Linked DNA regions of Danio rerio. The protein of the gene in region 5 interacts with the protein of the main gene of each other region in a pairwise test. Links are inferred from orthologs where the notes say so. Each region holds a gene or a part of one and is shown on either strand. Other genes may lie near its edges. The genes, in order: RNA-binding Raly-like protein, sytl4, lcp2a, necab2, fxr2, baz2ba and pcbd1.

Evidence for each region.
Region 1: the proteins of fxr2 (region 5) and RNA-binding Raly-like protein interact in a two-hybrid assay, tested with the Homo sapiens proteins (2 studies listed by BioGRID and IntAct). The link is inferred for Danio rerio from reciprocal best matches to the Homo sapiens genes FXR2 and RALYL.
Region 2: the proteins of fxr2 (region 5) and sytl4 interact in binary tests that used the Homo sapiens proteins (3 or more experiments, as listed by UniProt). The two-hybrid records come from large-scale screens. The link is inferred for Danio rerio from reciprocal best matches to the Homo sapiens genes FXR2 and SYTL4.
Region 3: the proteins of fxr2 (region 5) and lcp2a interact in binary tests that used the Homo sapiens proteins (3 or more experiments, as listed by UniProt). The two-hybrid records come from large-scale screens. The link is inferred for Danio rerio from reciprocal best matches to the Homo sapiens genes FXR2 and LCP2.
Region 4: the proteins of fxr2 (region 5) and necab2 interact in a two-hybrid assay, tested with the Homo sapiens proteins (2 studies listed by BioGRID and IntAct). The link is inferred for Danio rerio from reciprocal best matches to the Homo sapiens genes FXR2 and NECAB2.
Region 6: the proteins of fxr2 (region 5) and baz2ba interact in binary tests that used the Homo sapiens proteins (3 or more experiments, as listed by UniProt). The two-hybrid records come from large-scale screens. The link is inferred for Danio rerio from reciprocal best matches to the Homo sapiens genes FXR2 and BAZ2B.
Region 7: the proteins of fxr2 (region 5) and pcbd1 interact in binary tests that used the Homo sapiens proteins (3 or more experiments, as listed by UniProt). The link is inferred for Danio rerio from reciprocal best matches to the Homo sapiens genes FXR2 and PCBD1.

The regions. Positions count from the first base shown.
Region 1 is NC_133199.1:37,020,204-37,024,399, forward strand, and holds part of RNA-binding Raly-like protein, read right to left. Parts: intron 733-4,196; 5' UTR 726-732; coding exon 470-725; intron 1-469.
Region 2 is NC_133189.1:40,026,889-40,031,084, reverse strand, and holds part of sytl4 (synaptotagmin-like protein 4), read right to left. Parts: intron 3,171-4,196; exon of another isoform or gene 2,992-3,170; intron 2,852-2,991; 5' UTR 2,830-2,851; coding exon 2,714-2,829; intron 1,141-2,713; coding exon 925-1,140; intron 748-924; coding exon 638-747; intron 418-637; coding exon 303-417; intron 1-302. UniProt on the Homo sapiens protein: Modulates exocytosis of dense-core granules and secretion of hormones in the pancreas and the pituitary. Interacts with vesicles containing negatively charged phospholipids in a Ca(2+)-independent manner.
Region 3 is NC_133196.1:32,961,623-32,966,318, forward strand, and holds the start of lcp2a (lymphocyte cytosolic protein 2a), read left to right. Parts: upstream 1-1,534; 5' UTR 1,535-1,819; coding exon 1,820-1,897; intron 1,898-4,696. UniProt on the Homo sapiens protein: Adapter protein primarily involved in signaling pathways within T-cells, as well as other immune cells such as platelets, mast cells, and natural killer (NK) cells.
Region 4 is NC_133193.1:22,796,500-22,801,328, reverse strand, and holds the start of necab2 (N-terminal EF-hand calcium-binding protein 2), read right to left. Parts: upstream 3,040-4,829; 5' UTR 3,026-3,039; coding exon 2,708-3,025; intron 1-2,707. UniProt on the Homo sapiens protein: May act as a signaling scaffold protein that senses intracellular calcium.
Region 5 is NC_133182.1:22,740,925-22,745,732, reverse strand, and holds the end of fxr2 (fragile X mental retardation syndrome-related protein 2), read right to left. Parts: intron 4,363-4,808; coding exon 4,271-4,362; exon of another isoform or gene 4,043-4,270; intron 2,840-4,042; exon of another isoform or gene 2,525-2,839; coding exon 2,414-2,524; 3' UTR 877-2,413; downstream 1-876. UniProt on the Homo sapiens protein: mRNA-binding protein that acts as a regulator of mRNAs translation and/or stability, and which is required for adult hippocampal neurogenesis. Specifically binds to AU-rich elements (AREs) in the 3'-UTR of target mRNAs.
Region 6 is NC_133181.1:12,941,431-12,945,626, reverse strand, and holds part of baz2ba (bromodomain adjacent to zinc finger domain protein 2B), read right to left. Parts: intron 3,776-4,196; coding exon 3,631-3,775; intron 2,040-3,630; coding exon 1,282-2,039; intron 1-1,281. UniProt on the Homo sapiens protein: Regulatory subunit of the ATP-dependent BRF-1 and BRF-5 ISWI chromatin remodeling complexes, which form ordered nucleosome arrays on chromatin and facilitate access to DNA during DNA-templated processes such as DNA replication, transcription, and repair.
Region 7 is NC_133188.1:28,941,837-28,945,466, forward strand, and holds the end of pcbd1 (pterin-4-alpha-carbinolamine dehydratase), read left to right. Parts: intron 1-577; exon of another isoform or gene 578-744; intron 745-785; exon of another isoform or gene 786-1,080; coding exon 1,081-1,212; intron 1,213-1,300; coding exon 1,301-1,381; intron 1,382-2,423; coding exon 2,424-2,516; 3' UTR 2,517-2,876; downstream 2,877-3,630. UniProt on the Homo sapiens protein: Involved in tetrahydrobiopterin biosynthesis. Seems to both prevent the formation of 7-pterins and accelerate the formation of quinonoid-BH2. Coactivator for HNF1A-dependent transcription.

The DNA.
Region 1 (4,196 bases), on a different chromosome or scaffold from region 5:
GCTCAACAGGAGAAACTAATCAAACAATGACAGGATTTTTATTTTGAGGTGAAATAACCTTTTAAAACACTGTGAAACAAATGCAGTGGAAGTAAAAAGATAACAGATTTCCAGCATTCCTCAAAATATCTTCTTTAGTGTTCAATAGAAGAAAGAAACTAATCAAACATTGACAAGATTTTTTATTTTTTAGATGAACTATTTAATACACTATTGTGAGATTAGGTGTGTTTTCATGAAGGAAAAAATAAAGACCAAAGAAAAAAAAAACTCCCCAAGAGTTTCCATTATCCATATGTATTATTTATAACACCTTTATTATTTGAAGTGAATAGCTTAACTTGTTTTGAATGGAAGCTCCCTAAACAGGAAGGGAATCCATAATTTGATACACGGTCATCATGTGCAGAAAAAGGTAGATTAATTAAAGCACCAGCTTTAATAAAAGAAAAGAAAACCAGGCACTCACCCAGCGGCTGTCCTGCGATTATCCTGGCGTTTTCTCCAGCTACGGCGGCCCTTGCGTTCCTTTCGCTAATGTACTGGACGAAAGCGTAACCCTTGTGCACCGAACAGCCCACGATCTTGCCGTACTTGGCGAAGATGACCTCGATGTCGCTCTTCTTCACGATGGCGGTGTTGAGGTTGCCGATAAAGACCCGAGAGTTGAGGGAGCGCGGGTCGTTCTTGTTAGTGACATTGCTGGTCTGAGTCTTGCCGGTCATTATTCTCCTGCGAAGCACAGACATGATGGGGACGACATCAAACACACCTGATACAGATAATGTTTTTATATGTGGATATTTTAATCCAAAAGTCTGATGCAAACTGGTTATGCTAAAGCAGGGGTCACCAACTTTAATGATTTTGAGAGCTACTTATTGGGTATTATTATGAATGTGGAGGGCTACCAGTTTGATAAACACTTCTCAAATAACACATTTGCTCAATTTACTTTTAATTATACTTTATGTATTTGATAATAATTAATGATATTCATCCATGTGAAGACACTGATCGTGTTAATGATTCTCACAAAAGTTATCAGCAATGATTTAACAGGGTAGGAAATACCCTGTATTTAATGTTGGTGACCCCTGTGCTAAAGGGTCAAGGTGTCTGCATCAAAATACATGTGTAAAAAGGGAATATGTGAAGTAGGAAAGCTAGGATCTACTTTATTGTTTCTTAAATGTAGATTTTGTGAAAATAAGATGTCAAAATATGTGTAAAATTAGGCATTATTGATATATTTATTTTTACAACAGTTCTGTCTGTTTCTCAAATCTGATTGGCTGATAGCAGTGTGGTATTCTGCAATAACAGCACTTATACAGCCACCTCATCCTTCTGTATTACTCCGCCCACAGTGAGTGACAGCAGATCAATGAATTCACTACAGCTTGACAAATATTACAGCTGTTGGACAACATAATGTACTTTTAATGATTTTTATGTGAGAATGTAGTTGTATAAATTGCAACTATGCAGTTTATTTATAAGGATAGTGCCTATTTTAAATAGTTATCATTTCTGAGATTTATAACGTCTGCATCCATCAGCCTATCATACTGAGCAGAGCAAAGTTGGTTGATGTTTTGCTACAAGATAGTGACAGAGACTGTATAATAAGCCCTTAGAGCAGGTTCCCAACAGGGGGGTCGCAGCCCTCAAGGGGGCCTCAGTGAGCTTTGTGGGGGGTTGTGTCATATTAAAAAAAAAAAAAATCTTAGAAGTGGACAATTAGGAGAATGATCATGTTGTCTTAGTTAATTTTATTTTATAGCTCAGTGGTTCTCAACCACCGGTCCTAGAATCAGTTGGTAGCGGGCCGCACAAGAAATCATTCATTATTTCTTTTTTGTTTATAATCTGAGTCTGAACAATCTTTTATTTAAAAGAGAGGTCTTTTACTTTGAAAAATTACCGTATTCTCTCGCCCAAATTTAACCCACAAGCAGCAAAATGAGTAATGTCGAGTTCAGACTGCATGATTTTCAAAGTAGTCGTGTCACATATGTTTTCACACTGCATGACTATCTGGGCTCGTGTTTCGTCGCTGCTTTGTTTACACTGCAAGATGGATCAGCGATAGGGGTTTTCACATTGCAAGACTTTACTATAGGAAGAATCGCCGACAACTTCGTCTAAACAACGTCTGACAGCCAAAAAGACATAGTATATCTTTTGTTATTAACTACATAACGAGAAAGAAGCCATTAATGGGGTAGAAAATGTACATATTGGCTCACCTGGGTTTGAAGGGAATTAGCCATTTCTCCTCAACTTAAGTTGACAATAAATTAATTTCATATAATTAATTTAAATAAATAAATTAACTTTTTTTAACTTTCTGTCAGTCTGAACTAGGCATAAGAAACAGACTTCTTTAGAAAGTTTCTTTGCTAAGAGAAAAGGGCCCGCAAACAGCCAAGGAATAGATCTGCAACCCACTTGTCAACAATCAGGCGAATCCACCATGTCTGTGCAAGAAGATCATCTGATGGAGATCACAAATGCCAACTTATCCAGCATACGTTTTACACTGTGGATGCCCTTCCAACTGTAACCCATCTCTGGGAAAAATTAGGCTATTATTTGTGCATAAACATATGTAGATATAGTAATAATCATACCGTTTGTTTGAAAACAATATTTTTTTGTCATCATTACTGCAAACTTATATGAGCGATTATGTCATTAAATGTGGAGGGGGGCTTTACTATATTTTCCGGAGAAAAAGGGGCTCTCAGGCAAAAAAAAAAAAAGGTTGGGATCCACTGCCTTAGAGGACAAAAAATAAGCATAATTTAAAACTACAACTGATTAAATCATTACAAAACAGGTAAGTGACTTTCTGGTAGTGTTTCTGGTAGTGCTTGCTTTGCTTTGGCTTGTTTCAGGGTTAAATAGGGACATCACGACTGCAACAAAGAAACACAGGGAAAGCTCTATAAACTGATGGCATTTCATGCTGTTCAGCTTCATAATCTTAAAATATGAGAAAAATCTGCTGTTTTGTCATCACTTTAGGTATTAAGCTAGATAATCATTCAAACACTAGCTCTAAAGTGGCGTTTGTGAAGCAGCAACAGTTTCAGCTGTTCAGACGTCAGTTGCAGATGTGAATGAATGGTGGAAGAAAGTAGTTCCTCATACAAAAGGGTTTTTAGACTCTCAGTGTTTGATTTTCTTTTTTATATGCACGATTATGCCGTCGAACTGTTGTATAAATGCAATATCACCCAAGTAGCAGTGCAATGTAGCTGTATTGTGGTGGGACACAATGCACACCTCCCACCTGTGACAATATACAGCCAGATCGCACTGCTCCTCGTGTGATATTGCTCATGTAAAGATGAAACCAAATACTTATTCTGACCTGTACTTCAAATATAAAACAGAATGAATGATTACACACTGTCACCCACAAACACACATGTACACACACAAATAAAAATCTTGCTGCCTTTTTTGTTGTTTATTCAAGTAAACTTTTCTAGTCATCTCAAACTGCGTCAGTTAAAAATACTTTAACTTATTTATATTTATATTTATACTTATATAAATTTACTGATATAAAGTATATAAAATTTACTTGTAAAAAATACTTATATAAATTTATATTTATACTTATACTTATTTATATTTAACTTTATATATACAATATTTAACAAAAAAGAAAGTAAACCCGATTAACTGATTAAATTAGGTAACAAAAATATTTGTTGTCATTCGTTTTTATCTTATCATTTTTTACTTTTATCAAAATCCAAGAGGTTGCCAACTTCCTGCTGGCAAGTGTTAAAAATCTAGGCTTTAAAAGAAAGCGGTATAGTATAAATGAGAATTAATTACTGCATGAATTTCACTATTGTAAAATATTATTCCAACATGATGAGTTCTACAAAAGCAAATAGTGTAAAACAGGCAAGTTTATCAGTCATTTTTAAAAGGCAGTTTCCCTATGGAGAACATAAATGGAGGTTTTACTCCCAGTTACGCTCTATTTAAACTCTCCACCAAAACCGGAGCAAACTTTCTGGAGCAAAAATGCTCACAGTATGTACATCGACCCTGACTCAACCTTCACATCTTATAAAGATTTTGGGATAAGATACTGTACTGTTTTCTTATCACGATGAAAGAACAGCAATTGCAGAGATAACCAAAATTAAATTGCCGTCTTATGATAT
Region 2 (4,196 bases), on a different chromosome or scaffold from region 5:
AAACAATATTAAGTAAAACCTTCACCTACTGCAGCTTAATGTCTGTGGACATGATTGTGGTACAGCAAAGACCTGTTAAGTTTCTCTAAATATTTGTGTGCATTTGCAATGATATAATGTTTAATAAATATTAAAAGAATTAGCTTTTTGGGAAAACTATCTCTTTAACACAGAACTGTGTGGATATTAATAGAGCAAAGTGATATGATAAAATCATCCACGAGATGATAAAAAGTGGTCAATATTTAAATGAAGCACATTTCAATGTTTGATCAGTATCAACATAAGACTACATTACACACCTCTTATTGGCAAGTGCAATGTCCTTTAGTCTTGGTTTGGGCACAGGCGCAGCTTGGCTGGGATTCAGCTCAACTTTGTTTAACAGTATTTCCCCAGCTGTCTCATGCTTTTTACCTGGAACAGAGAGATGTAAATTTCAGAATGGGGAAGTGGTGTATAATGATTAATCTAAACAAACTGCCAGCCATTTAACCCTCAAGTAAACAGAGGACTCATTCTTTTCTCCTGTTCACACACAAAAAAAAATCTGCTTTCCACCCCTTGTAAAAACAGAAAGTTGAAGTTAGTTCACATTGCACATAGTTCATCAGACCGTCTAGCTTCCTGCACTCACTCAGAGGCCTCTTCCTGAGGGACACTCGCACTAAGTCATGTCCAGGAGCTGAAGAGAAGCGGTTAACCCTCTCGTCAAAGAACCAGTCTCCAGTGCTCATCTTCAGGTCTCTGAGAGAGAGAGAGAGAGAGAGAGAGGGAAGAATAATAAAAAACTTTTGTTGAACATTAACTTTTTCCATTAAGCATGGGCCTCATTTTCCAGCCTAATGTGCCTCTTAATGATAGGTTTCTAAATAGACTGAGGCCAAAGAGCGGGATGCTGGGAGCCATGGGGTGCACACTCACATTTCTTTGGCACACACTGTGCACACCCATGATCCATTGGGTCGAACAGATTGGCATTTTTTGCAGACTTGATGTTTGCATGATCTGCACTGGCTGCCGCTGCCGCTTAGAAGGCTCAAGGGCTCCTGGCAGCGGCCACAGCTGCGTTCACTGTATTTCCCACTGCCACGTTTTGCACCCTTTCTTCTGATATCCAGAAACTCGGCTTTCAGCTTCCTATGGGAACATAAGCGAGCATATAATTAATACACAAAATTATTTGAGTGACCAACATCCTTTTCTTAAACCCAAAAATAGTACAAAAACTACAAAATTGGGTCTGTATAAAATTGAGTCTGAGCCCTAAATAATGTGACTGATTTCTAAAAAATAAATATTCAACTAAATTATATTGCGTTGATTTTGTTAAGTTTTTTATATATACAGCTGAAGACAAAATTATTAGCCATTCTAAACATTTTTTAATTATTTTTTAAATATATAAGAGACAGAGAGAAAATTACTTTCAAAATATTTTTATATATATAAGTTTTAGTAATTAATTTCTAATAACCAATTCATAGTGCCTTTACTAGTACGGCAGTATCTGATATTTTTCTAGTCATTTTGCAAGATACTAGTATTCAGCTTAAAGTGCAATCTTAAAGTGAAAGGCTTAAATAGGTTCTATCTATCTATCTATCTATCTATCTATCTATCTATCTATCTATCTATCTATCTATCTATCTATCTATCTATCTATCTATCTATCTATCTATCTATCTATCTATCTATCTATCTATCTATCTATCCATCCATCCATCCATCCATCCATCCATCCATCCATCCATCCATCCATCTATCTAACTGTCCATCCATCTGTCCATCCATCCATAGTGCTCAGGCCCTCACAAATCTTTTGAATTAATATTTTCTTTAGGATGCTATACAATATTATATTTCTGCATATACATTAGATTAGTCAGTACTGAAGCCAAATTTGGAGCTTATCTACCAAAATAACATACAATAACAGTCCAAAAACTAGTACAGCCAAATTTATGTTATCGAAAAATATTAAATACAAATTTTAAAAAACAAGAGGAAAAATCAACAGAAGCAAAAAAATTGAAACATTTAGTTGAAATTGTGCAGGTTGTAATTATTTTGCAATATTTTGCTTGAATTTAATAGTATTCTTTTAATTTCTAAATATGTTTGGTGACTAAAATATTATTTCAATAAATATATCTGTTCAATAAATCTGTTTTGCTTAAATACACCAAAATACATTGCCTATATTCACTGAGAAATGGATACAAATATTCATTTTCAAAAAGGCGTGTACTCAATTATCTGAAACACTGTATATCCAGAAAAAAACTATAATAAAATATAGTGTAATATAGTTTCTTCGGTCTGTTACATCACTTGGAAGACATTTGAAAAAAGTATTAAAGTTTCACTGGAGAGAAAATAATTTCTTTATTCATGTATCTAACTGAAATAAATATTTAATATTGTTATTACTACTACCATAAATTCCACAAATTAAGCAGAGATAAGTAAGCAATATTTAAGTAATCATTAATTAAGGGTTATTTTAAGATCAAAAATTATTTTAACACTGTAAAATTAAATGATAAACACATAATGACAACTTATGTTTTAATTTACTTTTATTTATTAACACAAGTTCATCAAGATTTAACCTGACATTTTAAGTTTTAATGTAACCATGTAAGTTGACATCATTTATTTTTAATAATAAAGTTTTAATAATACAGACTGATTGAGCTGTGAAACTCACTTCACACGCAGGTCCTCCAAATGCCTCAAATCTTCGTCCCGCCGGAGGACTTCTAGTATAAACTCTTGCTCCGAGTCAGTCAGAAAGGACACGTTGATCTCCATGTTCTGCACCATCTTCAACAGTCAAGCCCTGCTTCTGAGGAATAAAAATCAAACAAACAGCTCAGCATGCATTAAGCCAACATAATAAGTGTCAACACAAACGCAAATTAAAGAAACTTGTAGAACCACACGTAACACTTACTTTACAGACATATAATAAATACAGAAGCTCACCAAACTGGGAAGAACAGGTCATTTGTTTCTTACAAATGAAGGGAAGACAGTAATATCTATATAACGAGCGCTACACAAATAAAAGGAAGCTCTGCTGTTTGTAAAATGGGTAGAGACCTGGAGCAGAACTGACAAATAAGGGGAGTGACCTTTCTCGGTTTCTCCATGCAGTGTCTGTCAGTATGTCAGAAGATCCTCTAGTAATTAAACAAGCACACAGTGACGCCCTGTGACATGCAGCTCAACATGCAAATGTGCTGGTTAGCAATGGCAGGCAATGGCAATATCACAGTAGGAAAACAGAGATATTCCCACACCTGCATCTACCACATAAATCAAATATAGGCATATTAACTTTAATCTTTATGTTTGCTTTTTATTACTGGAAATCATAGATGGCTGAAAGTACGTTTACCTATGTTACAAGTGTAAGAAACAAGTCCTCAATCTGTCAAGCTTTGAAATGGTGAATAAAAAAGGTGAATAAGTTAAATGAAATAACTTTAAAGTCAAGACAATATACGTATTTTAAAGTATAAATGCTTTATAAAATTACTTTTGTTTAAATTAAACCATTTTAAGACTTAAAATTCTTTCTTAATAATAATAATAAATTGATATAAAAATAATTTAATCATATTTTATATAATCACTAAGGCAGCCTTTATTTATTTTTGCAAAATTACAGTATAGGAAAATTAATACATAATATACTTAATACATACATTTTAATATTTAAATTGTCATCTATGTATGTGGTAGCTGTGGCTTTTATGAGCTATTACATGAGTATTCAGTGGTTATTCAATTACACATTCTCCTGCACAAATTCTAACATGCTAATTTAATTTTCATTTAATTTTAATTTCTGAGTGAAATTTCAAAAATCCTCTAAACCAGTGAAGATACAAGGCTTGCATAGCACACTAAAAAGTGTAATATAATACAATATAATATAATGTAATGTAATGTAATGTAATGTAATGTAATATAATATAATATAATATAATATAATATAATATAATATAATATAATATATAAAGAGTTCAGATACAAAAACCTCTAAGTGCCATCTGGAATTTTCTTTTACAATGAACATTTTTCTCAGCCTCTTAGCAATGAAAATAACCTATTCTTTGCCATAAAGGTGAAATTACTGAATCAAGCAGTGGTGGAAAGTGTACTGAAAATCATACTTAAGTAAA
Region 3 (4,696 bases), on a different chromosome or scaffold from region 5:
TTAGGTTAACTAGGCGGTTAAGGTAATTAGGCAAGTTATTGTATAAAGTTGGTTTGTTCTGTAGACTATTGAAATAATATATAGCTTAAAGGGGCTTAGACTTTTAAATGCTTTTTAAAAAACTGTTTTTATCCTAGCCGAAATAAAACAAATAAGACTTTCTCCAGAAGAACAAATATTATCAGACATACTGTGAAAATTTCCTTGCTCTGTTAAACATTATTTGGGAAATATAAAAAAAAAAAAAAAATCAAATGGGGGCTAATAATTCTGACTTAACTAACTGTACATATATTTATTATATATTTGCTATTGTGTATATATTTGTAAATTTTGTTGAAATGTGTACATCAATAAAAAGCTATATATTTTTAAGCAAATTAAGCTTATAACCAAAAGACTATTACACAGTAAACAAACAAACATGTTTTTATATTAATTTAACACAAAATGCGTTAATCAATCACGTTTTAACATTTCAATTATCTGAGATTCAAATTGATGTTTTATGTCAGTTGTCTTTCTTGTAACATAAGTTTAAATGACTTGTAAATTTAAAATCAAACCAAAAGTGCTCAGGCGTAGCTTAAATAATGTGTCGGTGATCTTTGGGTAAGGGATTCATCAGAAGAAACTGCAAAAGTCACTCCAAAGCACTTGAAAAATGTGAAAAAAAATTATAAAAAATGGTTTTAAAATATTTTTTTTCACTTTTTTCAAGCACTTATTTTTACAACTTGAAAATTTTATTTGATTCAACAAGTCAGCATCTAATTCTTTAAAGTGACTAGTAAGATGTCAAACACACAATTTGTTCTTAATTGTCCATCTGTGTTATTATATTACTATCATTGTTCATATTACTATACTGCCTGTTTATTATAAAGCACATATTAATGTCTTATTCCAGTCTTATTTAGATCCCTTGTTAAAAAAAAAAAAAAAAAAAAAAGAAGTGGTTACAGAATATTCACTTTCAAAAATGTTGGGTTCCACACAATTCCTTCATGTTGTCTCAACACAAATCGGTCAAGCTAACTTGAAAGTTTGTACAAATTTATCTGGATTGAACATAAAACAATTAAGTTGTTTCACAAAAAAATCCTTAAGAATTGTGTCGTTTCAACCCATTTCAAATAAGTAGTTTAAACAAACAGCAAAAGTCCTTTTCTAAATGTTTCGTTGAGTTGAATTAACCTTACAAGCCAACTTGCATTGCATTAAATTGATGTAAAGCAGCTCTTATGACTTAAAAAATAAGTCGAAACATGCTTAACTTATTTTAGTGAGTTACACATAACAACATAAAATAAAAATTAAAAGTTGTAATAAAAAGTTTATTTTCTTACAGTGTACGCATGTTAAGACAACCTTTCATATCATGAATAAGTGACAATCAGGCGGTTATTGAAGGGGAAAACTCTTATTGGTGAACACATGTAATATTAAGATTTTTTTTTTTTTGTGAAGGGGCTGTACTTCCCCTATTTGTCAAAACAATCATTAACAGGAAGTCTATGGGGAAGTGGATGTCATTCTTTCTTTTCATACTCAGCTCAGGCAAATCCGGGGTGTTGGGTTTTTTCGTGTTTTCAGAAAATGTCGGTTGAATTTTGAGTAATTTCTTTAATTTCTGGATCGGCAACTGGGTGATTCTGTCATTATTTGGCTTTCTTTGGTTTGTTTTTTTAGAGCTGACACGTTTGTCTCCTCGTGTTCGGTGTCAGACGAAGTGTGAACTCAATCTGAGAGTGGTTGCTTTTTTTTTTTTTTGGATGCTTGTAGGCATTTAGGATTTTATATTCATCAGTGAAAAACAATGAGTTTTGGAAGTTTGCCGTCCAAAGCCGAGGTTCTGAACTGGGATTCACATAGCTTGGCAGACTTTTTGAAGAAGGTACTGTAGGTTACTTTCTCTTTTTGTGTCTTTCAATTGTGTAACTTTAGAATTAAATTGTACAATGAAATGGGTTGAAATGTAAAAATATTGTTGTGTAATCGGTTGTTGTTTAATAGATGTTCAGTTCAGATATTCTGTCATAGATGTTTAGCTTGTATCGACTTGGTCAGCACATACAGCATGCTTTTAAAGATATTTACCACATTTATTCATTATTTTTTGGATGTTGGATTTATACACACACGATAAGTATATAGATTCAATAAAATGGAATTCAGTAAATGTATGTCTTTTTATAGGCATTCACTAAATGTAGATGATCTATAAATACTGTATTCAGTAAATATATAGGGCCTTTTAGAGACATTCAGTAAATATTTGGTCTTTTAGAGACATTTAGTAAATATATAGGGTCTTTTATATATATATATATATATATATATATATATATATATATATATATATATATATATATATATATATATATATATATATATATATATGTAAATATATTGGCCCTTTTATAGACATCCAGTATATAAATATATATATGGTCTTTTAAAGACATTTAGTAAATATTAATGGTCTTATATATATTCAATAAATATATAGGGCTTTTTAGAGACATTCAGTAAATATAGATGGTCTTATAGATATATTCAGTAAATATGATCTCATATATATATAAGCAAAATCACACGAGTAGTGTGCTATGGCTGTACATCAGCACTGGTGGGAGGCGTGCGTTGGCACAAGGCCGCAGGCCGAGTGCCTTAGCGCCCCACCAGTGCTGATATACAGCCATAGCACATTACTCGTGTGATTTTGCGTTTATAGCACAGTTCGACGACAAAATCTTGTACATAAAAACGAAAATCAAACACAAGAGTCTAAAACCCTTTTGTATTAGTAACTATTTTCTTCCGCCATTCATTCACATCTGCAGCTGATGTCAGAACAGCAGAAGCCATTACTAATTCACCAACGTCACTTTAGAGCTAGCATTTGATTGATTCTCTATAGCGTAATGGGAAGCAGCGCTTCTGGTGTGTGACCCCACTTAAGGTGATGACAAAACAGCAAATTTTGCTCACATTTTAAGATTATAAGGCTAAACGTGACATGAAATGTCATCAGTCTACAGAGATTTCTCACCAGACTGCTGTTGTGTTTGCGATAAGGAGGAACAAGGCTGAATCCAGCTTCTTATTCGCAGCTTCTTATTAACTCTATCCGGTCCATCTTAAAAACCATAAGGCTTCAGTTTTTCAGCTTTTTATATGCGCTCAAGAGAACACACTGAGAAAGGGCTTATTATGCGGTTCTGGCGCCATCTTGTAGATAGACAACGTCAACCGTCTTTGGCTGCTGACGAGGTCTCAAAAATTGTAAATATTTTAAAATAGGCACTATTATTACAAATAAACTGCATAGTTGCAATCTAAACAACTACATTCTCGACTAAAAAAGCCTCAAAAGTACATATTGTTGTCTAACAACAGTAATATTTGTCAAACTGTAGCCTGCTTGTTGCTTGCTGTAAGGGCGGAGTAATACACAGAGGTGAAGGGTGAAGAGGCCTCTGTGTGATGTTACTGGCAAAATATCGCATGGATATTAGCCAAACAGATTCAAGAACCAGACAGAACTGTTGTTTAAATGAATATATACTAATGAATACATACACATACAGTAAATGTATAGGGCCTTTTATAAACATTCAGTAAAAATAGAAAATATTCTTTCCTCTGGAGAAAGTCTCATTTGTTTTATTTCAGCTAGAATAAAAGCAGTTTTTATTTGTTTATGAACCATTTTAAGGTCAATATTATTAGCCCCTTTAAGCTATATATATTTTTAATAGTCTACTGAACAAACCATTGTTATACAATAACTTGCTTTAATTACCCTAACCTGCCTAGTTAACCTAATTAACCAAGTTAAACCTTTAAAAGTCCCTTTAAGCTGTATAGAAGTATCTTGAAGAATATCTAAATATTGTGTACTGTCATCATGGCAGAGATAAAATAAATCAGTTTTAAGAAACAAGTTATTAAAACTATTATTAGAAATGTGTTGAGAAAGTCTTCTCTCCATTAAAAAGAAATTGGGGAAAAAATAAACACAGAGGCTAATAGTTCAGGGGGGCTAATAATTCTGACTTCAACTGTATATTCAGTAAATATTTAGGGCATTTTAGAGACATTTAATACATATACATTGTCTTTTTTTAGACAGGTCTTTTAAACCTTCTTTAGATAATCTTTTATTGGAATTCAATACATACATATGTTTTTTTTTTATTGGTCATGATGACCTTTAATAGACAATTGGTAAATATAGACTTTCTTTCTAATAGATATCCAGTACATATATTTTGATTACTTATTTTTATTTTTTATATTTTTAGTAGATATTTTTTTATATACATTTACAGATGTTAAGCACATTTGGGCATATTTATGTGACATTTAGCACATAGACTCTTAAAATGCAGTTCTTATTCAACCCAAATATGGACAAACCAAACAATTGTCCATATCTGGCTCACATTTGTGCTGAAACAACTTTTTAGAGTGTACAGTAACTGTTTTCTAGACATTCAAGACATCAATGTTATTTAAAAGATATATATATATATATATATATATATATATATATATATATATATATATATATATATATATATATATATATATATATATATATGTATATATGTATGTGTGTGTGTGTGTATATATATATATATATATATATATATATATATATATATATATATATATATATATATATATA
Region 4 (4,829 bases), on a different chromosome or scaffold from region 5:
GTTCTCAGAAACCGACCCATTGTACTAGCAGGCATATACCTGTATTGGCGGGCTTGCCAAACAGAAGCGAATTCACAGCTATGGCCTTCTGGGTAAAAAAGGTTTTCTTATATTTGACGTATTTTTTTTTTTTTTTTTTTGCTTTGTTTAATTAAAACGTTTAAATATAATAAAAAATACATATAATAATTAAACTTAATAATTATATTTTTATTATATTATATTTTTTCCTGCGCCTCCCCTGACATGCTCTGGCGCCCCCCAGGGGAGGCACGCCTCACACTTTGAAAACCCCTGATCTATCCCATCTATTAAGTTTTATTAATTAATTTTTGATGATAAAAATATAAAAAAGTAAGAATAAAGTATTGCAAACTAACTCTAACTCTTAGTGTCGATAAAAGGATCTGGAACAAATAACAAGAGAGAATGAGATGTCAGCCAAAGAAAGAAAAAGATTGACAAAGACTTTAAACGGGAGAGTGACAAATGGATTCAATTAATAGGCACTAATACGGGACTCCCATTTATACTTGCCAAGTCAATTGGATTGATTCTCCGTGCTTTGGCTCAAATCCAATCCACTGAACAAATGCCAGATATATTTGTATTTTAAAGTTCAAGTCAATAGTGCGATGAAGTCTTTAGCAAATGTCACGTGCTGCCACCATTTGATCAACTATTCTCACACATGTGCGTCCTACAGCATAAACTACTGTAATTTAGCGCACACCATTCAACCCCAGTGGAAACGAAATGTTCAAAAACATTAAATGCACTTAATTACTCCCTAAAGCCAGATGAGGTCTGGGACCAGAGGCATGATTATGTAAGAAAGCAATAGCGCGAAACACACTTATAGCCTTCTTTACGACAGCTTGTTAGTGCTCTACTGTCAGGTTTGGGGAAGCCAGGGATGCGAGCATTTGACACGCTCTGAATCTATAACTGGTCTAGCCGCTGAATCGAAGGCTTTCAGAAATGAAAATGGGGTCTTTACAATTGCATAGCTGCTTCAGACACTTTCAGAATAAACTCTAATAATGAATGGCGCTCAGCTGTTTACCAATGCAGGCTGATTCTGGAACAGACATTGCAGAAGACGTGTCAAGATTGAGATAAGTAATGGAATTCTCTCAGAAAGTATAGGGGGAAATCAATTCCCTTACAAGCAGCTGTGCTCCGTATCTTAAGTCTCGACGAGAAAATCGTGTACACATGCTCACCATCCATAAAAGACAAATTATCTACAGCACCTCATTATCTGCATAACCCCGCCTCCACTATTGTATTTACACTAGGGTGCATCTGGTGCCTTTGGCTTTTCTTTCCTGAGGTTTTTAATTAGTTTTCGTCCCCTTATATGTTCTGGTTACCTGAGACTGTATCTGGGTCTGGAACTGAACTACTTTATTATCACTCTCTTAAACGTTTTAACTTCTCCCCCTAAAAGCAATGTGGAAATCTCGAGAGGTATGTCCATCAGATAATTATCCAGCACCAATGAAGAACAATACTGAGGCAATACTTTGACCTACTAAATCAATACTGCTGAGACCTCGCCACAGCAGCCAACCACAAAGCATAACTGCCAGGCTCACAGGAAAAGCACAATAAATTATTTAGGTTCTCTGAGATAAATTCAGAGCAAAAGAAAACTGTTGTATAAGCTCAAGATGCTGAAAGGTACAGTCAAATGTATGCAGCGTTGTAGCTACTAGAGAATATTTGGTGTGTTTTATAATTGGGTTGATTTTTCTAGTGCACATTCGAGAAGCTGAACAGTATTTGGATACGGCTGGGACAGCGCGTGTGCATGCAGTTATAGAGTGCCATTGGGAGGGCTTTATCTCATCCTGAAGGGGGGTCTTTCAGCTGTAAATTATTTTACTCTTCAAAAATGGCTACTCAAATGATTTACCTTGAACAAAAACTATTTATTTAAGTTATTTTTCATTGTATTTCTAGATTTTTTGCTAAGAATGTCCATTATATAGGCGTTATTAGGACACTGCAATCATATAATAGTAATAAATTAAACAAAAACATTGAATGAAAATTTGTTTTTCTGAAATTTAGATTTAATCTTTAAACTTTCTGTCTTTCTGTGTAGCTCTTCTGCTTGCTTAGGGACTTTTAAGACTCACCATTCCATTGTTTTAGGCTTTTTGCGAATTAGACAGACACCAAATTTAATGCTAGACAATTTTTATCACCATTTGATGACCATTTAAAATCGCTCGGTGGCACTAGTTTCCGAGTGCGCGGAGAGATATGCGAAAGTAGTATGTTTCTGGTATGTTTCTATCGTCAACTATGTCCAATTAGGTTACTGTACAAAAACTGATTGCTTGCAACTAACCAATCAGAATTACAAAATCCATGTATTAAAGTATGCAAAGCATGTTAGATAACAACATGCAACTGAAATGCATAAAAGAAAGAAAAAATAAAGACAGAATTAAAAGTTAAAAGTAGATAAATTCATAAAGTGCAATTGCTTTTTGTATTCCCAAAGCATCAAAGGCTTACTAGTTGTGTATGAGTCATTAATGTCTAATTAATGCTTAAAACTCTTCTGAGGTTACTGAATTAATCAACTAATTAATGAATAAATTAGTTCATTACTTTATTCGGGAAACCGAATAAAAGTTGAACGGTCGCGCGCACTTCATATTTCATAACACAGAGAAAATGAAACACCTACATCCAAAATGACTGAGATGCCCTTTCGAGGCTCCGGCGCGAAGAACTGCTCCTGAGCCACCGCCGCCTCCTCCTTCGCGTATTCCCGGGTAGAGATGCTTTTATTGTCGCTCATCTTGGTGACTATCCAGCGGACGAGCCCGTCTATTCCACCGGGCTGTGCGCCGCTGTTTCCGGACTGTGCAGCCGTCGCTGTCTCGCTGTCCTGAGCCCCGGGTGTGGGCTGGTCTTTGCTGTCCTGTGCCCGGAGTTTTGCTTGTTCTTTGTGGAGCAGTTTGTGGACGCCGTCCCTGCAGTAGCGCGCTGCTTGTTCACACATCCTTTTGCCGCGGAGCGTTCATGCTGCGCGCTATGGGGGCGATCCCTCCCTCTGCTATGACATCAGCGGCTCCCAGCCCAAAACTCAGCCCTTCTGACACTCCAAATTGGAGCAGTTAAGTAAATGCCATGAATTTAGTACAGTTGCAGTAGAATAAGATACAATACATGAGAGAAAATGCATTATTTGCAATTTAGAGAGAGGATCAACTAAGAGAACTGATAGCAGACAATAACTTTTGAATTAATGATGGTAGTTATTTTAGTCCTGTTTTACCAAATATTCTACTTCATCTCTGTAAAGTAGCCAATTTAACGGTAGCTGTATTAAAACCCAGGAATAACCCCGCGAAAAACGAGCCAATGGTTACCCTGATTGTGATGATGGGCGTATATGATGACAGAATTTTCATTTTTAGATTAAATATCCCCTTATTTCCACTAACTTAAGAAGACACAACTGATTATATACATTCAAGTCTATATTATGCATGTGCATTATTGTTTTATGATGAAGCAAATTATTATAATTTATGGAGTATGTGTTGCTTTCAGTAAATACATTTTCAGTGATTCATACCATACTCAGAAGGTGTAAAACTCAATTCCTGGAGGGCCGAAGACCTGCACAGTTTAGTTCCAACCCTGCTCCAACACACTTACCTGTAGGTTTTAAACAAGCCTGAAGGACTCAATTAGTTTGATCAGTGTGTTTAATTAGGGTTGGAACTAAACTGTGCAGAGCTGCGGCCCTTTTGGAACTGAGTTTGACACCTGTGCCATACATTGTCAACAAATCGGCAAACTGTTACCATGTTTACCTTGTGGAAAGAAGTGAAAAGAAACACTTGAATAACTTCTAGGTTCCAAAACCTATAATTCTGAATGAAAAAAAATTTGCATCTTTTTTTAAACAAAACCCCCATTTTACCAAATGTACAAAAAACTGTGAAGTCTTTGCATTAAGTTAAAAGTTTTTGGCATACAAAAAGACAATGTTGTTAATAGTGTTCCCATTTGCTCATACTGTATCAGCAAAAATTGATATGCATGCACATGACAAAATATTTTTGTATTTTGTACACAGAAATTAAAATGGTATAGTTTTTGTAGACACTCTCTCTGAAACACAATCTGAAATGTTTGCATTTCCAGGCCCCTAAAACACTCTATTATAAAGGAATGGCAGAAATCCACAAAAAAGTTTCAGTTTTGTTGGCACCAATGGATTAGTAGTTAGTGCGTTGACATATAGCACCCATGTTTGATTCCCAGCTTAAGGTCCTTTGCCTATACTACCCCTTTCTCTGCTCCCTATGCTTTCCTGTCTTCACGATTGACCTTATTCTTAATGTACGAGCAGGTGCAGCCATTGGAACTAAAATTGTCTGTAGTGTAGGTGTGTGAATGAGAGTGTATGGGTTCCCAGTGATGGTTTGCAGCTAGAAGGGCATCCGCTGCGTAAAACACATGCTGGATAAGTTGGCCGTTCGTTCTGCTGTGGCAACCCCAGGTCAATAAAGGGACTAAGCCGAAAAGAAAATGAATGAATGAATGAATGAGTTCCTCTATTGGCAGCTAAATTGGTATATCTAAAACAATTGCAAAAACAAGTACACTTCCACAGTGAAGAATAAGGTCACTAAAAGTCTATAAAAATGTACGATTAAAGACCTTTAAAAATAATGATAAAAAATCAGTTTCTAGGTCTATCCAACTATTATTATGTGCTTTATTGGATCTTGCATAAAGAAACACTGGATGTAAATATGTGCATACAGTACACTTTAAAAAAAAAGCGTTCA
Region 5 (4,808 bases):
TAGAGCACATTTGGGATGTGGTGAAATGGGAGATTAGCATCATGGATGTGAAGCCGACAAATCTGCAGCAACTGCGTGATGCTATCATGTCAATATGGACCAAAATCTTTGAGGAATATTTCCAGTACCTTGTTAAATCTATGCCACAAAGAATTAAGGTACTTCTGAAGGCAAAAGAGGGTCCAACCCCGTACTAGTAAGGTGTACCTAAAAAAGTGGCCGGTGAGTGTAAAAGACTACATATACAGTTCAAAAAAACAACTTGTAGCCCTCTTGTGAAATATTAATCCGTTTTCAAATAATTCTCAAGTGATATCTTCTGGGGCAAAAACATTTAACAGTATATCTGATATTTTTTCTTCTGGAGTAAGTCTAATTTGTAATATTTTGACTAGAATAAAAGCAGTTTTACATTTTTTTAAACCATTCAAACGTCAATATTATCAGCCCCCTTAAGCATTATTTTTATTGTTTACAGAATAATCCACTGTTACACAATGACTTGCTTAATTAACCTAATTAAGCCTTTAATTAACAGTATCTTGAAAACTATCTGTCATCATGGCAAAGATAAAATAAATCAGTTATTAGAAAAGAGTTATTTAAACTATTGTGTTAAAAATGTGTGAAAGCTTTTCTTTAAACATAAATTGGGGAAAATAAATATAGAGGGGGGCTAATAATTCTGACTTAATCTGTGAAATGTGTCTTTTTGTGCAAGATCTTTTAACAAGCAAGTCCTAGATGAAATCATTGCTTTTTTAATACAAGTTTTAGTTTTACTAGTTTCGATGCGTTTTTATTCCCCATTCATCAATCAATCGCGTAACTGAAATCAGACGGAAATGAAAACAGAATGCAAAACACACACAGGTGTCATTCCAGAAATAATTTATTTCACTTCCTTTTTAATCTTTTTTGTTTTTTCATGATGTGGAAAGTACAACCAAAAAAGAAAAGAAAAAAAAAACAATCTTTGAGAGCAGGAACCAAGATGACAAGTAACAGCAAGGGAACAATCCTCCCCTTTTCATCGGGACAACCAGAAATACAACCAACGCTTGAACCTCCTGAGCAGAGACCCAAGCTCCATTCCTGCACACTGGAGTGTATTACAATGCTCTCGGATGTATGCATGTATGTGTGTGAACGAATGCCTGACTCTTCATCAGAAAAGGGTTTCACTGTTTACCGAAGACCAACCATACACACCAGAGGGGGCGCCGGTGAGGCCTCAACCCCATCCAGCCCTTCAGACAGCGGTGGCTGGAAGCTACCGAGAGTGTGTGTGCACACGCATGCCAGCTTTTACACTCACAATAATCCTGCCTCCCTTCTCCCCAAAACCGTATGGTGGGCTGTTGAAATACTGAATATGATCAACACTGTCTGTTAGATTGTTTCCGTCTCGGTCTTGTTCTATTGGGAAAGACTTGTGCCACCTCAATCAGAGAGATCGAATCACATTTAGGATTCTACTGTCGTCTCCTGGATCATATGACGTCCTTCCCAATTTATACACTTTTACTTCATGTCTCACAACAACACATGAACAAACAGACACACACTCGTACACACACACACACACACACACATTAAACGGCTTTCAAATAACGACCTTGGACAAATGTCATAATTTCATGTTTGGCATTAATTATCGCTCTTCTCCCCCAAAATCCGCACTCCTCTTAATCCGCACAATCCTCTCCATCCTTTAGACAAAATAAAAACACCAAAAACAAAACGGAACCATCTACTTCATCCAGTCGAGAACGCAAACGTTAAGGTAAAAAGAAAATACTCAAGTTTTTTTTTTTTTTTCAAATTCAAGGCACAATGTCTCTCCGCTTCCCCTTTTTGCCCTTAAATTCAGAGTACCACAGACTCAGCTGTCAATCACTCGTGAGAGGCTCCGCCTTCAATCCTCTCCGCTAGCTCCGCCCTCATTTAGCTAACACTGTTTTCAGAGATGCTATATCTGTTGGGGAGTGTGTTCACAATCCCACGCCAGTGAGTACAAACAAACAAACGAAAACAAATAATGACGGCAACGACAACAGCAACAACGAAAACTAAAAAAATCTAAAACGAAACCCCAAAATAGTCACGTCCTGTTTTCTGTGTTACGTCAGAAATTTGAGTCATATCCATCAGCTCATTTTTGGCAAGCTTGTCTTAAATAAGCACTAAGTACTGATAGATAGGATAAACATACACCGTTATGTGTGGTTTAAAGTAGATGCGCTCGTCGTATTTTTACTTTTTTTTTTTGTTTTCTCGTAGACTTCATGAATTCAAGGATTTTAGTCGATTTTCATTCGTCAGTTTAAAGGTTTACGTGAATGCAAGCAGGGACAGAGTTCGCCATGGTGTCTTGCTTTAGACGTGGGTCTTGAGGGGGCGAGATGACTTTTTAGGAGACGCCGTTCACCATGGCCAGAGCCTCACCGGGCGACGCCACGCCGTTACTGGGCGAGCGCTTTGAAGGAGTGCGCTCTTCCTTACTCACGCTGGTCCCGTTTTCCTGATGGAGAGAGAGATAAAACACTGTTGATGCTATGTTTTGAGTCTAATGCTAGTCAAGCTGTGCTTTAACCCAAAAGATTACTTTGAATATTTTATAATGGTGGCACAGACATTTTACTCGGCTTTCAAAAAAGCAATACTTGTAAAAGTAACAATCAGGCCAGAATGTAGCATATATAATGATATTCAGACAGACAGACACTCCCATCAACGAAGTATGAATAATCTTGTAAAGCATTAATCACAGTTTAACATTTACTATTGCGTTAAGATCCAAAATTGTGCTTGTTAACATTAGATAATGGACTGTGGGCTAACGCCTGTTTCACACCGCAAGCGTCAGCGGCGCGTGAGCAGAGCGTGCGCAGCGTGTATGTCAAGCAGTAGCAGCACGCAGGCGTTTGCCTTTCACACCAGCTGCGTCTGCAGCGCGCAGCTCTTCGGCAGCTGCTGCAGAGATCAACCTATCTCTGTCTATTCAATCTAGTTACCCATGTCTCTCCATATACAAATACACTTTTTAAACTTTTCATCTGCACCAAGGCCCCTCCTATGCTGTTTCTTTAACCTGCAAATGTTTATTTTACAAATTTTATAGATCAAATAGTACTGTCTGCTTCTTAAGCTAACTTATATGAGAAGTGTCTACAGTCAAAAGACAATTGCCTGTGATATCATGTCATTTGTTTTTTGATTATCAGGTTGCTGTAGACCTAGTTATAATAATATTTATACAATATAATTATAATGATATTTATACATGATCAAACTAGTGTTACTTTCTCTGCTTCAGTGATGTCCAGCGGCAGAATAACAGCTCGTTAATTCATGCTCGTGCAGAGGATGAGACGGACAAAAGTAACCAATGCATGCCATTCTTTTACTTATTTTCGTGTTGTCAGATTCACAGTGCAAACAGCTCCCGGTAGGAATAATCCGAGTGAACATAAAACAAAGCCGATTAAAACTTTCTTCCTCTGCTTAGCTGCACAGAACACAGCGAGCTCACATAATCCAGCATGCGTGTCGAACTACACTACCCACAATACACTTCGCTATGGACTACAAATCCCGTAAATATTCTATTTCCCCTCTCCTACAACACTAGTGTGCAACTTAAGCAAAACTGATACTAAAATTGTTTTATATTTGGTTTTGTAGTTTGGGCCTAAATAAATGTTTGTTGCCGTTTTTAATCGTTTTAAGTTAATTTGAATGACTATATATAAACCATTTGACATTATTAACACATTTATTGGGTAAAATTGCTACTTTTTACTGTCATTCAATGTGTTTTGGTCATTATCAATGCACTGTCACTTTAATTGAGCGTGAGCAGCGCGTCAAAAATAGAACCAGTGCCGAAACTATCGCTGCACTGCTGCTTCGGCGACGCTCACGCCTCGCTCTGATGCGCTGCTGCTGCGTGCGGTATGAAAGCTCTAATCTGTTAACATGGACGCCGAAAACACACGTGCTGCTCACGCTCTGCTCACGCTTGCGGTGTGAAACAGGCCTAAGACTAAAACTAACGTTAGGTAACTTTAATAACATTAACCAATGTTAGCTAAAATGTAATAAATGTATTACTTAAAGTTTTTTTCATGTTAGTAAATACATTAATTTATGAACTGTCATAGTAAATTTTTACCAAAAAAACAAAACAAAACAAAAACGTACATGCACAGTAAAGACGTTCACAATCATGCATAATTATGTGTCTTGTGTTGTAGTATGTGCAGACCTTAGGATGGGACACGTGTGGGTTGGCCTCCTTCCCCGGGAGATTCTGTCTGCTCTGGGACTCGGCACGAGAGATGAAGTCAGCAACAGTAACTATACCAACAACACCGGCAACAGTAGTCAGAAGAGGGAAAGCAGCAGGGGAGATCAAACAGGTGGACTCAAATCTTGTAGCATTGAAACAGCTCTTATAGCTGTATTCACATCTTTTAGAAGACATGACTTCATATTAACCACCCAAATTATTTACAATAATATACAACAACAGCCCAATTATATGGTCAAAATAAATTAGCTTTAAATATGATCAGAAGCAGAATCTCACCCTATCCAACCATCTGCCGACACATTTTACACATCTATACACATTTTTGGATGGGTTTTTGAATATTTAGTTATTTATTATTATATACACAAGTGTACTTCTCTTCAAGCAGCTCTGCACAATCAGGTTATATGAAGTTATAATAAATTATTAGCACTAAAACACATGGCTTTGAATTGGCATTATTTCTACACAACTGGCAACACAGAATATG
Region 6 (4,196 bases), on a different chromosome or scaffold from region 5:
GTACATAATTGTTCAAAATGTGCACTGTATCAAATGATTCATTTAAATTTGAGTGCATAGTAACTAAGGCAACTTAAAGGGGTGGTCCAGAGTATTTTTAAGGCTGGTTGTGTTTATGGGTTGCAAAGCAATGTGTGCTAATGCTTTATTTGTAGAAAATCACACTTTTTTCATATATCTTACTTTAGTTATATACAGCTATTCAGCTAACATGAAAACGACGTCATTTTTCCTAGTTCCTCTGAAGACCTGCCCTCAAGAGGCTCTGATTGGTCAGCTAACATAATGTTCTGTGATTTGCAGATCAGCTCCACATCACCAAGAAGCGTCTCAGTTATATCATTACAGCGCCTCTGGCTACGCCCCTTCACTGTGTGGGGTGTGTGTGTGTGTGTGTGTGTGTGTAACTTGAAGGGTTTATGACATCATTAACCCGGGTGTATTTTTTGTAGTCCCCAAACTTCTTTGGCTGTAGGCTTAGCTAAGCTAACTCTGTAAAAGCCAATGTCTCCCTTTGCATTGAACTTTGAGTATATTACATTCAGAGATCTTGTTTATGCTCATACAGCTGCATTACAACAATATTACAATATCAACTAAACTTTAAAATATGATATCCTAGTGGACCACCCCTTTAAAGAAGACCAATTATGCAAATATCCCTTTTATAAGGAATGTATAAAGTTTAAACATAGTAGTGTGCAAAAAATGTGTGAAAATAGCCAGCCTTTAATGGTAAAAAATAATTAATTCTATTTTATACACCTAGACATGAATAAAAGCAGTCTGCAGAAACACTTTGATTGACATTTTCCCTTTAAACATGTCATCAGAGGGGGAAAGCTCCGCCCAGTAGTGACAATTTCTTCTTCATTAGCATAAACAGCCTTGAGTGAAAAGCAGCCATCCGCCATTAGAGTTTTCACACCTGCCGAAGGTAATGTCAGCGATTAAGAGGACTATAAATGTAGAGTTTAATAATGCACAACTCAACACTCTAGTCTCCACGGACTGCCTTTTTCAGAGCCACTTATTTTGACATTTTCACTGAGATAACAATAGTCCTGTTTTGAATCTGCTGAGAAACAGGAATTTGTAGCTCCGCCCTCTTTTGAAAAGAGCTCAATCTCATTTGAATTAAAGTGAAAGTCACCCAAACAGCACAGTTTGGATCAAAACCTAAAAATGGTGGGGGTATGTTGAGCTAAAACTTCACATACGCACAGTAGGCACATCAGAGATTTAGCATCTTGTAAAGAGGGGCATATTTGTACTAATTACCTGCACACTGAGGTTGCTGATCCCGGCTGCAGCTGTGGGGTTCAGTGGGCTTGCAGACGCAGACAGAGGAAGCAGGTGATGGTGCGGGGAAGAGGTAGACGGTGGAGGTGGAGATTTGGGCCGTGTGTTTGTGGCGTTGCTTTTAGGCGAGGACTGCGGGTGCGCAGACGGCTGGATGAGGGAAGTGTCGTCGCAGGGTGAGCGAGGCAGCAGGCTGAACCAGTGTCCGCTGCGCTCGCTGAGAACCTTGTAGAGCTGGTCGCTGGCGAGGAGCTGAGTCTGCGCCAGCTGCGGCTGCAGGAGGTGCGCAGGGATGCCTAGCTGCAGAGGCGGAGGGATTGCGTGCTCTGCGTTTGGGCTGCTGGCCTCGGTCAGCTTGGAGGTAGTTGGAGAGTGAGCTGGAGACGATCCTGATGTCATGTCCATGGCGATTGTTGCCGAGCAGCCGTTGTGGGCATGGCGTGGCGTGTGAGGTGGCTCCTGACACTGAGGGCTCTGTGAGAGGCGGAGTTCTGGTAGTTGAGGGGGTGTGGCCACAACATCTGTTTTGTCTTTTAGAGGGGAGGAGCGTGCCTCTTTATTTGGCTCCTGGTCCAGATCCATGGGCTTCTCCTCCTCCTGTTTGACCTCCTCTTTCAGTGTCCCTTGTATCTCCTCGTGCTGATGATGCTGCAGGACTTCCTCCTTGGGCTCCTCTTTGACCTGCACAACCGGACAGTTCCTCAACCTCTCGCGCTCTTTCTCTAGCTCCTCCAGACCTACATGAAGAACAGAGGGAGGAACAAAGTTTTTGTCAAATAAATGATGTAGATCTGTCAAAAATGAAATTCTGTTTATTTATGATTATTTATGTTTTTTTTAAGATTACAAAAAAGCTGAAATAAAAATAAAGTCCTGCTTGCTCTTTTCTATATAATGGTTAAAAAAAAGCCAGAATTATTAGCCCCCCATGAATAATTACCCCCCTGTTTATTTTTCCCCCCAATTTCTGTTTAACGGAGAGCAGATTTTTTCAACAAATTTCTAAACATAACAGTTTTAATAACTCATTATAAATAACTGATTTATTTTATCTTTGCCATGATGACAGAAATTAATATTTTACTAGATATTTTTAAGACATATCAGCTATACAGCTTAAAGTGACATTTAAAGGCTTAACTAGGTTAATTAGGTTAACTAGGCAGGTTATGGTAATTAGGCAAGTTATTGTATAACGATGGTTTGTTCTGTAGCTTGTATGCTTTTTATATACTGTATATACAGTAGAATAGATCATATGGTTTTTGAGACCTGAACTACATGGCAGCTTACACATGAATGTAGGTTTACCGAATGAGACTTAATTTAAATGTGTGAATGAAAATTAATTTAAATGTAAATGTGCTGCAAACGTCATGTGTAAGCATCATCTCAGGTGAGCATGGTTAAAATACATGTGAGAGATTTTCAATAACCAAGACGAGCCAGTAACTGTGAAAAAAAGCGTGACTTGAACAAGATTTTGATCAGCTTTTTTGCCGTATTTGGCATAACGGCAAAATATGCGTCTGAGCAGGAGTCTGACAGGAAGTCAGCTTATAGCCTTTATCTTTCTTGCATTATGTTGTTATGAAATAATTATCCTGCCATGAATTGATGTTTATGTACAGTGTGCTGATGGTGTATGCATTTTTTTGCACTAAATATATACGTTATTGTTACATTCTTTGCAGTATGAGCCATGATCAATGTGTTGACCGCATTTATTTTGCACTTAAAATCGCCTGTGCTGATGTTGCTTTTAACAAATTGTTTACAATCCATTCGTTGTCCACTAAAACTAGTCATTGGTAAGGTTGAATTGTTCTTGCAACGTGTTATGGGCTGTCAAACAGCATGTGTTATGTATTTCCTCCAAATCAATACAAAATTCTGGTGTGTAGCAAAATATTTCCGTCTTGTGTTTTATTGATGATTTCACCAGCGACTAGTCGACGTCGACTCGACTTTAATAACATAAAAGTCAGCTTCCAAAAATCTGCAGTTGTTCAACCCCTAATTTATATATATATATATATATATATATATATATATATATATATATATATATATATATATATATATATATATATATATATATATATATATATATACACTAACTATATATAGCTCTCAATAAGAATATAGATATATAAGGTACCTTAAAAATCTAGAGAATAAAAAAAACTAGCATTTAGATCATGAATTTGCCACAAGTGACAATCGGTCAATATTACATTTTTCATAAACACATATTTTGCATATATAAATACATACATACAATCATGGAGTATTCGTTACATGGAGTTTGTTTTGTAAAAGCCTCACCTTCTCCACTCTCTAAGGCCTCTATGTAAACTCCTCCACACTGTGGCAGGATCCAGTATCTGCGGCGGAACCGGTCTTGTCCATATGACATGGACCGCAGGGCGTGAGACGACTCAAACAGCTTCCGGCGGATTAGGTTTTGTTGCTGTACTCAGACAAAAAGAGAATGTAAGTGTGTTTGGGTGAATGTATGTGTAAATACCATAGGGTGACATGATTAAAACAAAATTACTACTACACTACACTACAGTACAGTACACTACACCACCACAACAACATCAAAATCCCAAATGTGTGATTAATTTCATAAATGTATTCTGCATGTGTCCCGGAGTGGCTCAGCACATGGTAAACCTGCTCCAAACAAACTCTTTGCAACTGCTTTGAGGTTAGGATGCCCAGAACATGAATTTCGGAATTCAGCACATGCCAAAATCCTTTCAGATTTAACAACAAGTGCTTATAAATCTGCTGGTGTCAACAAAAGAGCAGATTTAACAGCCAAAGTAAAAGATTCCTGGTGAAATATTTTCAAAAGAAGACAATAAACAATAACAATAATCCGT
Region 7 (3,630 bases), on a different chromosome or scaffold from region 5:
TACAAATGAAGCATGAGCACACATTGTTTTGCATCTTATAACCGCTACCAAGCCTTCAAAATACACGTTGGACCACTAAGCATAATTACCCCAGAGAAACGATTGTTTAGATATAACGTCTAATACACTTTAAAGGAGTTCAAAGAGTTGTAAAGACATTTAAAATGTTCTAGAAATAAAAGGGCCTTCATTAGGGCTGCACAATATTGGACAAATGGAATATTGTGGTATTTTAGGTTTCTGTGATTTTATGTATATTGCAATATACTGTATCTAATTAATTTCACCAAATGATTAAATAGCAGGATTTCTAGTCACACTTTATTTTAAAGTTCAATTCTCGCTATTAGCAAACCATTACCTATGACTTTTGCTCATAATTTGCTTCTCAACAGATATTGAGTTAGTTTAGCTATTGGGTTAGGGATGTAGAAAAAAATCATGCATATTTTGTACTTTATAAGTACTAATAAGCAATATTTTAATAACAGTCCCTAAAGTGTTATCAAATGTGTTCATTTTGATTGATTGGATGATTCTGCAGATCAGTGAATCATGCATAAAATGTAATAAACAAACTACAAGCATAGATTCATGCAATAAAGCATAAATAAAAGTTAAATAAAAGCATGCATATTGCATATCTATGCGATGTGACTATTGCGATATCGATGCTGAAATGATATATTGTGTAGCCCTAGTCTTCATCCATATGGCCTTTACCTGACAATCTGCTTTCGGAGAGTTTCAGACACTTGTATGAGAGAAATCATCTTGCAAATTAGTGAAACTAGACAGTTTGACTCCAAGTTCAATAGTGTTTTTCAGAAAATTACCACCAGGTGCCAGAAGTGTTCTCAAATATTTGATCAGGGTTCTTTTTTAAATATCTAATTGCACGTTGTTGTTTTTTAAATACTGTAATTCAGCATATATTTAAATCATAAAATATGCTCAAATATATATACATTACTATTTGGCTATCTTCAAATAGAAATGCAAAGCAATAAAAAGGGCTTGCAGCAGATCGTCATTTGACAATGGTTTAAATAAATAACCAGAGTGCTTTAAAATACTCAGGCAGGGAAGATTCAGACTCTGACTATGGAGGAACGGGAACATCTCCTGCCCATGATGAGGAATGCGCAGTGGGTGGAGGTGGGGGGCAGAGATGCCATTTACAAAGAGTTCATCTTCAAAGACTTCAACCAGGTAATTAATCCGCCAAGAGGAAGCTTTTCACACTATTATTTACTGTGTGCGCACAATGTATGACACTCACTTTTGTTTCTCTCTTCAGGCTTTTGGGTTCATGTCCAGAGTTGCTTTACAGGCTGAGAAAATGGATCATCATCCTGAATGGTTTAATGTGTATAATAAGGTAAACAGATGTGTAGTATTTCTTTATGGTAAATTTAAATGGAAAAATTGTATTTACATGACATTTCCAATTACCTTGTCTGAAAAGTAACTTAATTACTCAAATACTTAATTAGTAATTCAGTTTCTACATGAATTATAAATCTCTATATAAAACAATATAAATCAAACTCTTTAAATTCTTTAAACGTGATTTAAATTTATACGGCATTTTAGTTTTCTTAAATCAAATATTTAATTGTAAATAACTTATGTATCCAAACACCACTATCTCTCATAAATACCATATGTATTATTAATTTCTCACTTAATTAATTGTTTAATAAGTGTATTATCATCTTGATCAACTATTTTTCAAAATATATTTATATAACAAAAAGTACAGTTATTTACCTTTTCTGAGTTAATTTATCCAGAACTATTTAATTTATTTACAGTATTTAAGACGAGCACACATAAGTAACTGTAATTAAATTATTAATTACATTTTTAAACTACTTCATTTATTTTCTTTCGGCTTACTCCTTTAATTGTCAGTGGTCGCCACAGAGGAATGGACCGCCAACTATTCCAGCATATGTTTTACACAGTAGATACCCTTCCAGCTGCAACCTAGTACTAGGAAACATCCATACACACTGATTCACACCCAAACACTATGGCCAATTAGTTCATCCAATTCACCCTTAGCAAATGTCTTTAGACTGGGGAAACCCATGCGAACATAGGGAGAACATGCAAACTCCACACAGAAATGCCTACTGGCCCAGCCAAGAATCAATCCAGCGACCTCCTTGTGTTGAGGCGACAGTGCTTATCACTGAGCCACCATACTGCCCCAGCAACTTTACTTTATCAATGGATAAGTCATTTAATTATGTTAATTAGTTACTTTGCCACTAATTACACCAAACACAGATTGAGGATGACTGCATTAGACACTTTCACCCTTTATATTACATGTGCGGATTAATTGTCAGACCAGGAATGTGTATGAAAAGATAAACATGCTCAATTTAAATTTGACGTATTCTGTCTGGTAGGTTCAGATCACCCTCAGCACTCACGAATGTGGAGGACTCTCACAGCGAGACATCAACCTCGCCACCTTCATAGACCAGGCCTCTGTCCTGTGAATGGAACCTCTCATTAAACTTCTTCAACCCCTCTTACCTATAAAACTGGACCAACGATGTTGTGAAACTTTCCGGAGTTATCAGCATATCAGTTTTAGCTGTGTGTAGTTTGGCTGTTACAGGTGCATTTTTCTTAATAAGGAAGTCAGGAGAAATGTAAACTTAAATCATTTCACATTCTGAGTGTATAAATATGGCACAGATCTGATCTGAAAATTGCTGAAAAACTGACATCACTGTGTTTTATGGTTAAATCTTTTCTTTTTTTAAGTGAAATATACAGTGCCTTCATTTGAATCCAGCGATAACTGCTTAGTGCCTCAGTCAATTGTAAGTGTATTAAACTGAACGTTTGCCAACGCTGGGATTCTGAAATCTGTGTATCATCTGTCAATGCACTTGCCTGTCATTTAAACAATTAAGGCGATGTTGTTATCAGATTTAAAACACATTAAGAGAAATGGAAAAGAACACGTAATGGATGCCAGGTAGAACGGTAGATGTTTGAAAACCTGAACTCCCATGGAGCTAAGAAATAGTCTATGGTTTAATCTATTAGTACACCAACCTCCCTTGCCAGAAATGCTGGTTTGAATCCTGCTCGAAGCGGGGCAAGTTGAACCTGAAGGATTGCTTTGGGGCTGTAAACAAACAGGATGATTCGTAGATTGTTAATCATAACAAGTGGCATCTCTTTAAAAGTACTTGCAAAAATAATTTTTAGCAATAATACATGTGTAAAAAAATTTAAAAATACTTGCAGGATCAGGAAAGCTCTTCAGCTGCAATATTGTGCTACTAACATGATGTGCAGTCTGCATTCGTCTGCTTGTAAGTGTAATATGTTTTAGTAGGTTTTGGCAATTCATTTGTAATTACCAGACCCTTTATTTATTTAAATGTGACAAAAAAATGCAAATTCCACCACTTTTCCAAGCCGCTAAATTCTGAAATGACTTGAATTGTTTATGGAAATGTCAAGTCTGTATAGTGTACAGATGCTGTACAGTGCTACAATGGAGTTAGGGCTCATAAAGAACTCATAGTATATTTAACCACCACCACACAATTGATTTTATCAAGGGGATCATTGACAAATATTTTACAGTACAAA